2 linked regions of the Oreochromis niloticus genome follow. The protein of the gene in region 1 interacts with the protein of each later gene in a pairwise test. Links are inferred from orthologs where the notes say so. Each region holds a gene or a part of one and is shown on either strand. Other genes may lie near its edges.

Region 1 (8,039 bases):
AACCAGGAAGCAGAGTTGCAGTCTAACATGCCTCTCTGCAGCTTCCTCCTCCTGTTATCTGTTATTAGACTCAATTGGCTTCTCTCAAAATGTTTTATTTTAAACTTTTTGATTCTATTTGTAAAACGTTCATAAATGTCTAATAAAAAACCCAACGCACATCAATTCAAGGCTGAACTGAAAACCTACCTGGGAACTTTGAAAGGTTTGACAAATCTGTAAGCCATCAAGACTCAAAGTCATTTTAATACCTTTAAAGATTTACTTTGAAATATCTGACATGTACCTCTCCTGAATGTTTCATTGTTTGTTTTCCTCTTTATTTGATTTTATTGCTTTACATTGTAAATTTTATCAACTACATAAATACTCAATTTGTATTTTATGTCAATATTGATCATTCTAAAAAATTACTGTTTGTACATCACTTCCTACTCTTACATCGTTTCTATAGCTCTTTCAAAATAAAAGCAAAGCAGAGTTTCTTGGTGTAAAAGGTTTATTTTTGGACAATTCTGACATAAGACATTCTGAATAACCTGATTTTAAAAATGTCACATTTTTAGGTTCTGATTTGTTTTTCTGGGAACAAAACGTCCATCACACATTGTTCAAGAACCATCAGAAAGTTGAAAATCTGCCAATGATTTTTGTAAAGAGTACAACACTGACACTTTTTTCTTTCTTTTTAAAAATGAAATTGAAACTGAATTTTAAATAAAAATCATTCAACCTCAGAGTGCAGACATGTCTGCTGTCAGCAATCTACGATCCGATAATCAGTTTCTGTGCTGCATCTGTCTGGATGTGTTCACTGATCCAGTCAGTATACCATGTGGACACAACTTCTGCAAAAACTGCATCACTCAGCACTGGGACATGAATGTCATGTGTCAGTGTCCCATGTGTAAAGAGACTTTCTACATTAGACCTCAGCTGAGGGTCAACACATTGCTCTTTGAGGTGGTCGCTGAGTTTAGACGTGAAGTTCAGCAGAAAGCCAGCAGTAGCAGCTCAGAGCAACAAGCTGCCAAACCAGGAGAAGTTCCCTGTGACATCTGCACTGGAACCAGACTGAAGGCACTGAAGTCCTGCCTGGTGTGTCAGGAGTCCTACTGTCAGACTCACCTGGAGCCTCATCTGACAAAGAAAGGCCTGAAAAGATATCAGCTGATTGATGCTTTGGAGAACCTGGAGGGCAGGATGTGTAAGAAGCACGATAAACCTCTGGAGCTGTTCTGTAAGACCAACGAGACATGTGTCTGCGTGCTCTGCTCTGTTTCAGACCACAAGAACCACGAGTTTGTTCCTCTGAGAGAAGAATATGAAGGAAAGAAGGCAGAGCTGGAGAAGACAGAGGCTGAAATTTAGCAGATGATCCAGAAGAGACGATTGAAGATTCAGCAGATCAAAGAGTCAGTGAAGATGAGTAAATGTGCTGCAGACAGACAGAAAGCAGAAGGTGTTCAGGTCTTCACTGCTCTGAAGGAGTCTGTTGATAGAGGCCTGAAGGAGCTCATAAAGGAGATCGAAGACAAACAGGAAACTACAGAGAACCAGGCTGAAGGTCTCATCAAAGATCTGGAACAGGAAATCTCTGAGCTGATGAAGAGAAGATCTGAGGTGGAGCAGCTCTCACACTCCGAAGACCACCTCCACCTACTCCAAAGCTTCTTGTCCCTGAAAGCTGCTCCACCCGCCACAGACTGGACAGAGGTCAGCGTCCGTCCACCATCATATGAGGGGACTGTGGTGAGAGCTGTGGCTCAGCTGGAGGAGACACTCAGGAAACTCATGAAGAAGAAGCTGTTTGAGGCTGAGCTGAAGAGGGTCCAGCAGTATGCAGTGGATGTTGTTAAGTTTACATACGCTGCTAAGATGGTGAAGGGTCGCTTTTAGTCTGTCTTTGCATGTGTGAGTTCCTGTTTTATTTTGTAGGTCTGCGTCTCTCGTTAGTGTTTCTGGTTTCGCTTCCCCTTGTCTCGTTATGTCCAGTTACTCCCAGCCGTGTTTTCCTCCTGTTTCCCATTCCCTGATTGCCATGTGTGTATTTAAGCCCTGTGTTTTCTGGTGTGCATTGCTGGTTTGTCTGCGTTATTTAGTGTTTTCTGGTCTGTGTATCGCTTGCCGTCATCCTGTGAATTCTCCCTGCCAGTTGCTTTCACTTGTGTTCAGGTTTTGTTGTTTAAGTTTTAGTTCTCCCAGTATAGAGTATTTCTAGTTCTGTTTCTCGCCGCCCTTTCCTTTGTTTGTTATCTCACCGTCGCAATAAAGCTTGCTCACTTCAGAAGCTACCTGCATCTTAGGTACTTTAATAATTCACACGGCTTGCCCCGCAAACCGTAACACATTCTTCCAATGACATCATTTTGATGTGATGATTATGTTTCCATGTTCTGATGATTTAGTCTAAATAATAAACAGAGAGTTGAGGAAAGGCTGCAATCACAGCATTGTAAGGCGGTGAAGGCTGAGCTGTCATTTAAAAAATGGTTTGCACATGTTCAGGGGATGGATGGAGCTGCCAGCTGGGAGGAGAAGAGGAAGACCTCAGACGAGGTTCATGGATGTAATGAAGGACCCCATGCAGATGGTTGGTGTGATGGATTTTTTTTTTTTTCATAACTCTAACTCTGATTAATATTTATTTGATCAAACCAAACACTTGAAATTCATCAGCAAATATCAAACGTTACACATTCTTTGACTCAGAAACAGTTATTTGCTCCTGCCATGTTTCTACTTTTAGTAAAACTTCTCTCGTGGTAGCTGTTTACGCTGCTGATTTTATTTTGAAAGTCCGCATAGAAAGTTTTGATCCTCTGTCAGAGTGCTGGCAGTATTCTGCCCTCTGGCGGTCAGACCTGAAACTACAGTATTGTCTCAGCCACTGCAGAAGACGTTTATCATCGTTATCAAACCTGCCTCTTTTTTTTAACCTTCAAACCTTTATTTACAACAGCAACATAACAATTTACAATAACAACATGACTGTGACCAAATAAAAACCGGAAATAACAGAGAGAGGAAAAAAAATTAGAAAACCAGCCCAAATCAAACCTTTTTTCTTTCTTTTTTTGCCTGAAGAGAAAACACAAAATTCAGAATTTAAGGGGAAAAGATCCAACATTTCAAACGTAAAATATGTTTAAATGTGACTTTTATTCTAAGAAAAAAGTGTGTGTGGCACCTGACCGCTGCAGTCTTTGTTAGTCTGCATATTAAACACAGACTGGCTCTGAGTGCATGATGATGATTACAGAACAACATGAAAGTCAGGTTCATTCAAAGCTCATTCTTTGAGGAGCTGCACATCTGTCTGCAAATGTGGAGATCACACTGTGATCACAGAGGCACATAAAACCTGTTGTTTATAAACATATCTATTTATTTAAATAGAAATATCATAAAGATGACATCCACCCATCCATTTACCCAGTTCTGGGGTGCTGGGGTGCTGAAGCCTATCCCAGCTCTCACTGGGCGAGAGGTGGGTGCATCCTGGACAGGTCACCAGTATATGGCAGGAATAACACAGACAGTCATTCACACCTACAGCAGATTCCAGATCAGTAGTTCACCTAACGAGCAGGTCTTTGGACTGTGCACGGGGAGAACATACAAACGGAAAGAACCCAGGCAGCCGATGGATTTAAACCCACGACCTTCTTGCTGTGAGGTGATGGTGCTATCACTCAAAAATTACAAATTTAAATAAATGAAAAAATATGAATGTATTCCTTTCTGATTACTTTTGGGCTTACCTGTGTAGATCCACTAACATCCACCAGGGGGGACTGCGGTACCCACAACACACCTTCCAGTTTTATACTCAAACATGTTATCGTATTAGATGACATTGTGCTTCATTGGACTACATGCACTGTGGTGTTTAAGATTATGACTCAACAACAGAAATATTTTAATAATCCAGCGTTTAGGACATTCATTCAAACAGCAACAAAAATACAACAAGGGCTTAGATATAATATGACCAAAGAAATAGGCTAATGAGGTCAAAACTCACCTGAAATTAAACAATCCCAAATACAATCAAGCAAAATATAATTATAAATGTAAATATAAATAATTCAATTCAATTCAATTTTATTTATATAGCGCCAAATCACAACAGTTGCCTCAAGGCGCTAAGGACTGCAATGATCACATCCTCATTCATTCCTTTACTTTCAATGGCACGCCGAAGAATTGCACTGTCGTCACTGGCATTGAAGTCTGGATATGGAGTAACCAAATAATTAGTAATAATATAAAAATCGCAAGTGCAATAAATAAACACAAAATAACTTTAAAAATACAAATAAAATATTCAATTTAATAAATCATAGGTTATAACACTGTTTTCTGATGTGTTACTATATGATAGGATGTTACATTACATTTGTCCATTTAGTCCATCTATCTATAAGCATCTTTAAAAATGTCAGTTCAAAAACTTATAGTACTACTACTACTACTACTACTAATAATAATAATAATAATAATAATAATAATATGACAGTTAAATTAATTTAAAAAGTCAGAAGTTTATAAAAAGAAAGGTTTTCTAACGAGTTTTTTAAATGTCTGTCACTAAACAAACTCTTATTGTATGCCTAACTTATCTTTGTTACATGTTATTATGCATTCATATCTCTATGTATTTGATTCCAATGTGTTGTAGTGCATTACATTGTGTTGTATTGTAACATATTGTCTTACAGCACTGTATTAATGAGATGTATAGTTTATTGATCTATTTGCATTGTTAAATTACATTGTGTTGTATTAAATTGTTTTATGTTGTATTTAACTGTATTAAATTGTATTGTGTTATATTAAATTGCGTTCCATTGTGTTTCATTGTGTTGCATCGTGCTGCTGGAGTCCTGCCAGCGGCCACCAGCGGGGGCGCTGTTGTCACTTTGGTTACCCATAAGCGGGGGAGTGAGAGGTGCATGAAATGGAGAAAAATGGCGGATCATGTGCAGGTAAGTGGAGGTTTCATGTTTTTGTCGCGGATAATTTCTGTAGGCGGGCGCAGCTGAAGCTGAGGCCGGATCCGAGTGCGCCGCTCCCGGCACGGAGCCGGCGTGCAGCCGGTGCTTGCGGGCGGCGGCCGCGGTGGAGCTAGCGGGGAGAAAGAAAGGATGCGGCCGCCTGTGTTGACTTGTGGCCTGCTGTCACAGCACGGGCTGGAGGCTAGCCGCTGTTAGCAGCCAGGGGAGGGATCGGGCTCCGGGGCGAACAAGGGAGTCTGCGGGCTCCGAGTGTCCAGACCGGTGAGCTCCGGCGTCCGTGGCCGTCAGAGGCGGGTAACCGGAGGGCGAGCGGCGGGAAAAGTCGGTGTATTTCAGTGAAGTAAACAATGAAACAGGCGGTTAGCTGTAGACGGATAGCTGCCAGGCTAGCACGCACGGTCACCTGGCGCCACCGGGAACCGCCGTAAACACGTTTATCCCGGCCGGACCGACGGACCGGGCCCGGTACCCGGAGCTTCTGTCCCGGAGTTCCAGGTTTTTGTGTTTTTATTCACAGCTCGCTCCGGTAACGACACCCAGCCATGCAGCAGGCTAGGCTAACGTTAGCATCTCCACACGTCAACTTCTCCCGCCCGAGCGTGTTTGAAAACATGACCTGGTCTGTGTGAGCGTTAGTCGGTGAAACAGGGCGACGGTACCGGGCCGGACCCGCGAGGGGCTCCAGGGTGAGGACAGCGGGGGTTTCACCCTGGTGTGGGCAGCCTAGAGCGGCAGCTAGCCAAGCCGCTGTGCTCCGGCACATGTTTGGGAAGCCGAAGGAGGAGAGGGATGAAGTTCAGCTGCTGTGGGCTTCCTCCATGATGTCCCTGCAGGGAACTCAGTGAGGAGACTGTGGAGACTTTGTGCTGAGGGACAGGTGAAGCCAGCTTTCGTTTTCTCTGCTGGTCACATGAGCTGTGTGTGACATGACATAATATATTGTTAATTGCGCACAGCATGCATGAACTATGAGGAGAAACTCATCCGGTCCTCTCATGTTAGAGGCTGTAACAGGTCGTTATTGTTTCTGCTTTAGAGTAACTTTAATCAGTTTATCTGTGATCAGCTTTAATCCCAGGAAGGGTGGTACGAACTCAGGTGGGTCACAGATTCACTGAATGTGGTCAAAGTGGAACATCTCAGCCTGATTTCATTAATATTTAAATAATTTACCAGGTAACCAAACGTTCCGGTGAGTTTCTGAGGGATTCTGGGTAAACTTGTGACGATGATTTCAGGTTTTTCAGTCTCAGCTCTGGTCAGAGTACTGGGGAGAAAATATTTATTAGTGATAAAAATGATAATATAAATTATTCTAGCAGTTATTTTTATGATTATACAGATTAACTATAAATTCAAAGTCATGAAAACAGCAAACTTTATAAAAACAGTTTTAAGTTAGCAGATTTAACCTCAAATAAAGTTTTTAAAGCTTTTTTTCCCTGGAAATGACACTTACTTCATCACCTACTCCCAGGTTTATGATCCTGTGAGTGCCATAAAGTGTCTGATAATCCAGGTGAAAGTCTTCACTTATGTAATGGTTATACTGGTACCACTGAGCTGGATGTAGCTCATAAATTCATAATTAATAATGTTTGGGTAAAGTAAGAGAAGGGCCTCACGTCGGGCAGTTCTCGTAGCTGGATTAAGTTGAATTTCTGTGATTCTGGCACACAATAAGCCCAGATCCTTGTTTTTAAGTATTTTTAGGTGAAATCTAACAGAAAGCAGACTTTAAGTATTTTTAATGATTTTAAATGACTGAAAACGAACCACTTAAGTTCTTTCTGGTGTTACTGAGACAGTTTTTGGTGGAATAAAGATCAGGCTGATATTTACTGCCCGTTTCCACTGTGTGCTGTTTATTTTACTCAGCCGTTTGTCTCCAGACTGATGATCATGTAGCTGCCTTGTTCTGATGGAGGGTTGTTCACTTTCCTCACTGTAATAAAATAACATTAATGTGTAATTTTTAAAAGATCATCTCATGTTAGAGCCCAAACACCTTCATTCCTGTGATCAAACACTAACTTTAGTCAGTTTATCTGTTATGAGCTGTCATCCAAAGATGATGTGATGTGGCGTGTCGAAGGCCAACGCCATGCGGCCATGAGGTCAGAGTGACCTGCCTGAGTCTAAAAAGTTCACGTTGAAGTCCAACGTTTACGCTGGTGTTCCTCACGCACGTTCCTCAGGCTGGAGTCACTGCACAGCAGGGAAAGAGATTTTCGCTCTTTAGCTCCATAAAACAGTTTCTAATGTTTGTGTAGTGACAGCAGATGATGATGGAGAGGATTTTTCTTCAGACATTTCAGGCCCTGAATCGTCTGTTTTTCACACACCTGTGTGTTTATTTGAATAAAAAGGGGTGGTCTGTATTGACAGCCGTGCTCCTCTGATGTTCAGGACTCCTGCTAATGATGATTAAATGTCCATCTGGTAATCTTTAGATAATAGCTGATCAGCCGTCTGCTCCCTGACGCCTCCCACAGGTTCTCTGTTTATGGAGATAAGCTTCAGACCAAAAATCACCTCCTGAATATTTAATGATTCGGGAGGTTTCACAGGATATCCCTCCATTATGTTTATTATGTTTCTGCACACATGGGCCTTTGTAGCTCGAGCCTGCAGAGCCGTGAGGAGTTTATAGAATATAAAACGCGTTAATAAATAAAAAATCTGCTCTCAGGTTTAGACTGAGCCTATTCCTGTGAGGTTATTATTTATGATCTCTGTTTTCTGATGCTTACCTGGGTCTAAGCAGAGACTCCCCACCTCTCTCTGTGGGACGCATTCTAGTCAGGTGCTGCACCTCCTCAGCTGGAGGAGCAGCGTCTGTGCTACGAGCTCCTCCCAAATGACCAAATCTGCCAGCCTGTCTCTGGTCTCTGAGGGAGCGCCGGGGGTCAGATCTCCTCCATCCTTACACCTGCGATCCTGTCAGGATCACACCCGACCTCTATGGTGCCTCCACGGGACGCTGTGTGTTTCCAGGTGGATTAAATGATAGAAGTA
Region 2 (7,657 bases), on another chromosome or scaffold:
TATTTGCTCAGCCAATCACATGGGAGCAACTCAGTGCATTTTGGCATGTAGACACGACCTGATGCTCAAACCAAACATCAGAATGAGGAAGAAAGGTGACTTTGAACGTGGCATGGTTGTTGGTGCCAGACGGTCTGGTTTGAGTATTTCAGAAACAGTTCATCTACAACTACAACCACCTCCAGGGTTTACAGACAATGGGCCAATAAAGAGAAAAATATCCAGTGAGCAGCAGTTCTCTGGGTGAAAATACTTTGTTGATACCAGACGTCAGAGTAGAATGGTCAGACTTCTTTGAGCTGATAGGAACAACAGTTAGTCAAATAACCACTCATTAAAACAAATGTGTGCAGAAAAGCATCTGTGAACACATGTCGAACCTTGAGGCAGATGGGCTACAGCAGCAGAAGACCAGACTGGGTGCCAGTCCTGTTATCTAAGAACAGGAACTAAAATTGGACAACAGAAGATGTTAAAAAAATATTGCCCAGTCTGATTAATTTCGATTTGTACTCTGATATTTAGGTGGTAGGTTCAGGGTTTGGCGTAAACAACATAAAGCATGGATCCATCCTGCCTTGTATCAATGGTTCACGCTGCTGGTGGTGGTTAATAGTGTTCAGGTTATTTTTCGGCACACTTTGAGCCTCTTACTACCAACTGAGCATTGTTTAAATGCCACAGCCTACCCGAGTCCATCTTTTTATGACCACGGTGTACCCATCTTCTGATGCCCATTTCCGGCAGGTTAATGGGTCATGAAAAATTTCAAATCATCTCTGCATCAGTTGTTTGATGCCGTCATGCCAACATGGACCAGAATTTCTGAGGAATGTTGTAAGCACCTTGGGCCTATCTGACAGGGGCAGTGCTTCGAGCAGCTGAAGTACAAAAGTAACTATGAAATGAAATAATGTAAATAATGTGTATATACAGTCTAGAGGAATATATACAAAATAAGAGAAAAGCACACAGTGGAGAGCAAAGTGCTTGAGAGTAGTGCAAAGAAAAAAAAGACTTGGTCTCAGCAGAGTCTGTTTGTGAGTGACCTGATGAGACCGTGGCTCAGATTGGTAAGGTGTGGTGTAGGGGTACAGTGTTTGTTAGCGGTCCGAATGGCCCATCGGAAAAAGCTGTTAGTGACCCTGGAGGTCGACCAGAGGGCAGTGGGTCAAACTGGTGGTGGGCAGGGTGCAAGTAATGACCCTGGTTTTCCTGAGACAGGAGCCAGTGATTTCTTGGGCGTTGATAATTACCTTGTTCACAGCCTTCCTGTTGTCAGAGGTGGAGCCTGCGTACCAAACACCCAGGCAGTAGGAGAGCACGCTCTCCACTGAGGAGCAGTACAAGGCTCCTTTATTTTTTTTTAAGGAATTTAATTTTTAAGGAATAAGGAATGCTCCAAATGTTTTCAGTTGGTGAAAGATCTGGACTGCTGGCAAGCCTCTTCGCCACCCAGACTCCTCTACTGGTATAGAATAGAATAGAATAGTAAGTGAGTAAAATTTATGTATATAGCACTTTTCACTGATAAAAATCACAAAGTGCTTCACAATAAAACCAGAAAGATACATAAAATAATAATGTGAAACAATTAAAAAAAATTAATTAAAAGCTTGTTTGTATAGAAATGTCTTCAGTTACTTTTTTTAAATAACCTGTTATTGTCATTGTACAATGAAACTTGTGGACAAAACCATGCTGTTATATTAGATGTATTAGATGCTGCAGTATGAGGTTTAGTATCATTTTACTGAAATACTCAAGGCCTTCCCTGACAAATAGGTCATCTGGATAAGAGGTTATGTTGAAGTCCTGTATATACGTTTCAGCACTGATGGTGCTGCTAATCTCATGGGAACTAAAGCACCTCCATACAATTAGAGATGTATGATTTTTAACCGAGTCTGGAGAATGTGGCATCCATGTTTCGTTTTGTTTTGGGGTTTTTTTTTTTTTTTTTTTTTAACTTCGGTTAATGTCTGGAAGTGTTCCTGAGCCCATGCAATGATTCCCTATTTTGATCCCGATTGACTGATTTTCAGCCGTGTCCCTTGTGTACAGAGATTTCTCCAGATTCTTAAAATCTTTTTATGACATTGTGTACTCTAGACGATGAGATATTCCAGGTCTTTGCAGTTTTACATTAAGGAACATCATTCTGTAATGTTTCCAGAATTTATAGAGCCATATTTAAAATATATAAGTTCATTTTTTTGTAGATTAGTAAACCTCTGAAGATGCAGATGTTGTCGTTCCCATAGCTGACAGAAAATGTGTCCAGGCTTCTCTCTGTGAAGCTTTTAAAAGACACTAGAGGACCACATGTTGCTTTTGCTTTGTCATTTGTGTCATGGCTCTGATGTGCAATGATGAAACTCTACTGCTTTTATATTATTGTACTGGATTGCTTCACTAATTTCAACATAAGTTTATTAAAGACACTGAATTACTTTTATGACTGGGTGCATTTGAATCGGTTTGTGGTGCTTTTCTTGTCTGTGCTGTGTGGAAGCAGCTGTGCGCAGGGCTTTAGAAACAAGATTTATGCAAATCAAGATTCACACATAATAAAGGACACGATCAGTAACAATGAACCCAGCCATCAGAGCAGATGGTAGATGGGGGTTAAGGGCACTGAAGACACAGTTACAGAAACAGTTTTCATTGCTGTAGGAAAATAAAAAGGTAATTCTTTATTTAAACAGGCAAAAGTGTGCTGTTGTGTTTGTTGGGAAATGATGTTTGGTGGCATGAAAGTTTACTTATTCTCTGAATGTTGTCTCTCCGGCTCTTCATGGTGAGCCAGAAGCAGCTAGACATCCATGTGTAGATGTTTACAGATAATTGAATGAACGTTGTTGTGCTTATCTCAGCGTTCTTGTAGATTTTTTCCCCCTCTTTATTCTCATCCAGATCACACACCACTCAGCAGATCTGGATCTATATAATGTTCCATGAGAAAAACACCATTTTTTCTTTGGGTCCAAAGTCCCCTGGCAGGTTAATCCAGCTCTGGGGTTACACGCAGGTTAAAATCGAGTAGATCTGGTTTCTGGTTTCACTTTATTTTACTTTGGTGTGTGCTTCCTCTGAGTGTGTTTCTGTAAACTTTGCTGTTTACCTGCTGTTTTCTGTAAGTACCTACACATATAAACTTAGTCACTCTGCTTAAGGATTGTTTAGGTGTGTATTTGACAGTTATACCATACCTATTAGTTATATTTCAAAATTAAAAGCATACAAAAAAAAATTTGTTAATAAAATGCATTAGACTGTACAGGTTCAAGTGCCCAACCGTCCTTTCCTGAATGCCTTTCCTGAGGTTCGCACATTTATGTGTGACAATTTGATTTCCCTCGGATTGAGTTAGACATATGACAGCAATTATAATCTGAAATAGTAAAATTCTCCAAAGTAGGTAACAAAGTTATGAATCAGTCATAAAGTGCACACGCCCAAACAGTTTTCACTTTGTTAAATCACTGCACGCTGACTAGGAAGTTTGGGTTGTTTGTATGCGCTGATCCAACCCTGAATTACACCATTAGAATTACCACTTACACAATAAAAAAGGCTGCTGTGTGCTTATGTCTGTCTGCAGGCTAATAATCAATTAAAGGTACAGTAAGTGATGTTTTTGAGGTAACAGAATATTGTATTCACAATTAAAAATTTATGGGTTCTTGTAAACTAATTAAGAATTAATACATAAAAAATGCATAAGAGGTTGCCAGTTTTTGTATATATATTTTTGTATATTATAGGCAGAGGTTTTAACAATGGACAGCTTTCACCTCGTGCTCATTCAAGTATAATAAACTGAAAGTGGAAATATTACTAACACTGAAACTGTTGGTATTTATTACACCCACTTCTGTGTAATTAAAAAAAAAATCCTCCTAACTACCATTTATAATTGTATATATTAATTCAGTATTAATACTTCCTTGATCACCAGTTAACCTAACATGTGTTTGTTTTTGGACCGTTGTACTTTGGAGAAGGTGAAACATGTCAACTCCATAAAGACAGACCCCAGCCAGGATTTGAAGCAGGAACTCGCTGTGAGGAAGTAGTGCTAACCACTCTGCCATGCTGCCATAATACACGTCTTGTATCTGTCAAGGCACCCTCTGACCTCTGTATGACCTCTTTTCCTTATGTGCATCATACATAATGGCTACTATATACACAGAAACAACAGTTTACAGTTTCAAGTTTACAGTTGTATTGTTACAATTGTTGAGAAATCAATAATTTCTCTTGATTTGATGCCCACTGATCTAAAATCAATGCAATGATCTAAAATCCACCTGGATAGTTACAGATCAAATTTAATTCAGAACAAACTCAGTGTATAAAGGATTGTAGCTCCTGTACAACAGTATAAATTTTAGAGATATTTGTATTCTTTGTGTTTTTTGCCACTAAATGACACATTTTACTCCAGTCGAACAGGTTAAATTTTACTTGAACAGTGTGTGAGAGTTAAAAACTTTAACCCTCTAATGATAGATTTAATTGATAATTGTTTATTTTATTGCTGCATTGCCTATCACAGAGCATAATCATTAGTTTTCTTGCCCTTTAAATAACCGGCTGGGTCTTCTGCTGCTGAGCCACGTATCGCCACGTTTGCGAGCATGCGCAGTGCCCAAACGTTAGTGTTCCGGGGTAGGTCAGTGTACACAGTGTAAAAAATATATCATTGTGTACTCTCTTACGTGTCTATTATACTGAGCACAGTGAGAGGCGGCAGAGGGGTGTTTTGTGAAGAAAGAGAGGCTCTGAATACGGCACCGAGATGAACTTCTTCAGAGGAGTGATAAGTGGGCAGGCAGCCGGGCCGCAGCCGTCCGGAGCGGAGACGGTAGGAAAGCAGCTGGGCTAGCAGCGGCTAGCTAACGTTTCTCCGCTGTGCGCCGTACAAACTGAGAACAGGGGGATAGAGTTGTGTTTTTAAGCCCGTTATTTTTTGCTTCGTCACATACAAACACTTAAGAGAATGTGTGAAGATACATTTCACTTGGCGAATGGCTGGCAGCGAGCTAGTTAGAGGGCTAATGAGCTAACGTGGCTAATCTGTCAGGCAGCAGTGGGAGTGTGTGTAACCTGCTGTGCAGCCACAATGAATGGAGAAATCCATGAAAGACACGGACACCAAGAACCAGCCCGTTAGGACTGTCAGCTGTTTACACGTCAGAGTTTTGTTTTGATTAAGTTTAATCTGCAAATCTACTGAACATATTGGGGTGATCTCGTAAAATGAGCTAGTGTATAACATAAAAATGGACCTTGTCGTGTACGTAGGGCGGCAGCGGACTATTATCTTTAGTACTGATTGCCTGCTAATCAATTGGTTTAAAGCACAAATAAATAACTGAATATCTGGCTGTACTTCAGCCAGATACTCCAGACAGCCATGCATAGTGTTCCATGCAGGAATCTCCTGACACATTGCTGACATTGCAGCAGACAGCCACATATAATCAGATCTTTGTATAGTGACTGCTCAGGGAGGAAGCTGTCACTCCTGAGAATGCACAAAACACTTGAACAGAAACCTTGTGAAATTTTTTTTTTTTCCACCTTGTTACTGCTCTTTCTGGGATCGGAGGTGTTAAATTAATTTACTGTTGACTTGTCGACATATTCTTGTCCCATCCTGCAGTAAAACTTATCAGTTTTCCAGGAAAATGTGCATTTTTTAGACCTGCGATTCCAGCCGCGTTTTGCTTTTGCTTTTGGAATAGGACCTGTATGAAAATGAAAGCAGTAAACCACACTACAATAAGTGCATCTGGTGGGCCTTTTTTTTTTTTTTTTTTTTGGCTGGGTCGACTTGTCCCCTTTGTCTCTGCAAATCAATACAAAGTTGTCACCTTCATCCCATGATGGGAGTAGTCTCTTCCAGGGTGACATGAAGGATTGCTGAATGGTTTGAGTATTAGAGTGATGCAAGTCATTTTCTGTGGCCTTTGCAGTCAGCCAGATCTCATTTTAGACAGACAACTTAGACACTTTGTCACACTGTCACAGCCGACTTTGATTTCATGGCAGTTTGCATTAAACATGTGTTGACTCATCATCTTAGTAATAAGAGCTAAGCAACTTGAGATACAGGAGATATCGTGCATTCACACTTGCGCCTTTTCATAAGTGATATGTAAATCTTACTGAAGTGACCAAGGTGCACATTAAGACACAAGCTGTCAGATGGTGTTGGATTAAAATAAAAGATTTCAAAACTTGAAAGGGTTCAGAAATACTAGTGTTTTTTCCTTTAATTTGTCAGCTGTCTGTGTGTGCTAAATGTAGTTATGTACAGTATTTTGTTTTGGGATTTTTTGCTTCTCCTCACAACTCCACCACAGAACCATTGGGGCTTAGAAACCACAGCTCTTTAAAACATTCCAAAAATTCTCTCAATTTCAGAGACATAAAATTACAGAAATTATCAGCAAGCATTGCAATAATAATTAAAAAATAATATGTCCATTAACAGATCCAGAAGCTGTGCGATCGAGTTGCCTCCTCCACGCTCCTAGAAGATCGGAGAGATGCTGTCCGTGCTCTTAAGTCCCTCTCCAAGGTAAAGTACAAGTAGAGACTCACTAAAAGGGCCTGCAGCTGTATGCAGTCAGTTGCTAGTTATATGGATTCTAACTTGCCTTGAAAAATTGTAATTTCTTGAAGGTTTTATTGAAATTATTTAAGAGAAGAGCTGTGAAACTTTGAGTTGAAATCACTGCACTAACATCATGTACATAAAGCAGTCTGCACATATCTTCTGCTTTGTCTCTCTGCGATAAATGTGCTGTCAGTAGCCTTGGATAAAGCTCTTGTTTGTCACATTCTACTGATTAAAATGAACTCATCTCTGACCTCCACCAAGTCACTTCTGTTCATGGACAGTTTTGCCATTAGCTGCACTGTCAACCATGAGTAATGAGTTTATCAGGCTTGAATAAGGGGTTTAAGAAGCACAGGGTTTCACGTTAACACACGTGGGTGTCAGTCCTGGTCTGCCACACAGATAGATGTGCAGGTTTCCTGTATGCCACAGAAATCCAGAATGTTTCTAACTTTTCATATTGACTAAAATTCCTTTATTTTAGGTTCTGGTTGCATTACCAATCCTATGAGCATTTTTTAAATGTTTTCTAGAAATATCGAATGGAAGTTGGAACACAGGCAATGGATCACTTGATTAACATACTACAGACTGACAGGTACGTTAATACTCATACTTGTAATGCTTGTGGATTACAGCTCAGTAAACATGCTAATGTTTGTCTCCCAAATACAATAGATCAGACTCTGAAATCCTCGGCTATGCTTTGGATACGCTCTACAACGTCATCTGCAATGATGAGGAGGAAGAACAAGGTATTACACCCCACATCCTTAAAAAATATGTAATTTAACTTGAATTCATAACTGGAAGATCTAAACTCTGATCTAAAGATGTTTTTAACTATATTGAAATGAATTCCTCCTTATTGTGAGGCTTCTGTAAATGGTTTGAACTGACTTTAAACCCATGTTTGTTTTGCATGTGTAAATGAGTTCAGTTCATGTTAAACATGGAAAGCTGTCAGTTTGCATTCCCTTCTTCTATACACTGATGATGACTGCTTTATGTAAAGACTCT

What was found.
Region 2: the proteins of xpo7 (region 1) and uso1 interact in binary tests that used the Homo sapiens proteins (3 or more experiments, as listed by UniProt). The two-hybrid records come from large-scale screens. The link is inferred for Oreochromis niloticus from reciprocal best matches to the Homo sapiens genes XPO7 and USO1.

The regions. Positions count from the first base shown.
Region 1 is NC_031972.2:37,386,572-37,394,610, reverse strand, and holds the start of xpo7 (exportin-7), read left to right. Parts: upstream 1-4,868; 5' UTR 4,869-4,958; coding exon 4,959-4,991; intron 4,992-5,905; exon of another isoform or gene 5,906-8,004; intron 8,005-8,039.
Region 2 is NC_031971.2:17,313,436-17,321,092, forward strand, and holds the start of uso1 (general vesicular transport factor p115), read left to right. Parts: upstream 1-4,619; 5' UTR 4,620-4,807; coding exon 4,808-4,873; intron 4,874-6,508; coding exon 6,509-6,595; intron 6,596-7,170; coding exon 7,171-7,235; intron 7,236-7,315; coding exon 7,316-7,392; intron 7,393-7,657. UniProt on the Homo sapiens protein: General vesicular transport factor required for intercisternal transport in the Golgi stack; it is required for transcytotic fusion and/or subsequent binding of the vesicles to the target membrane.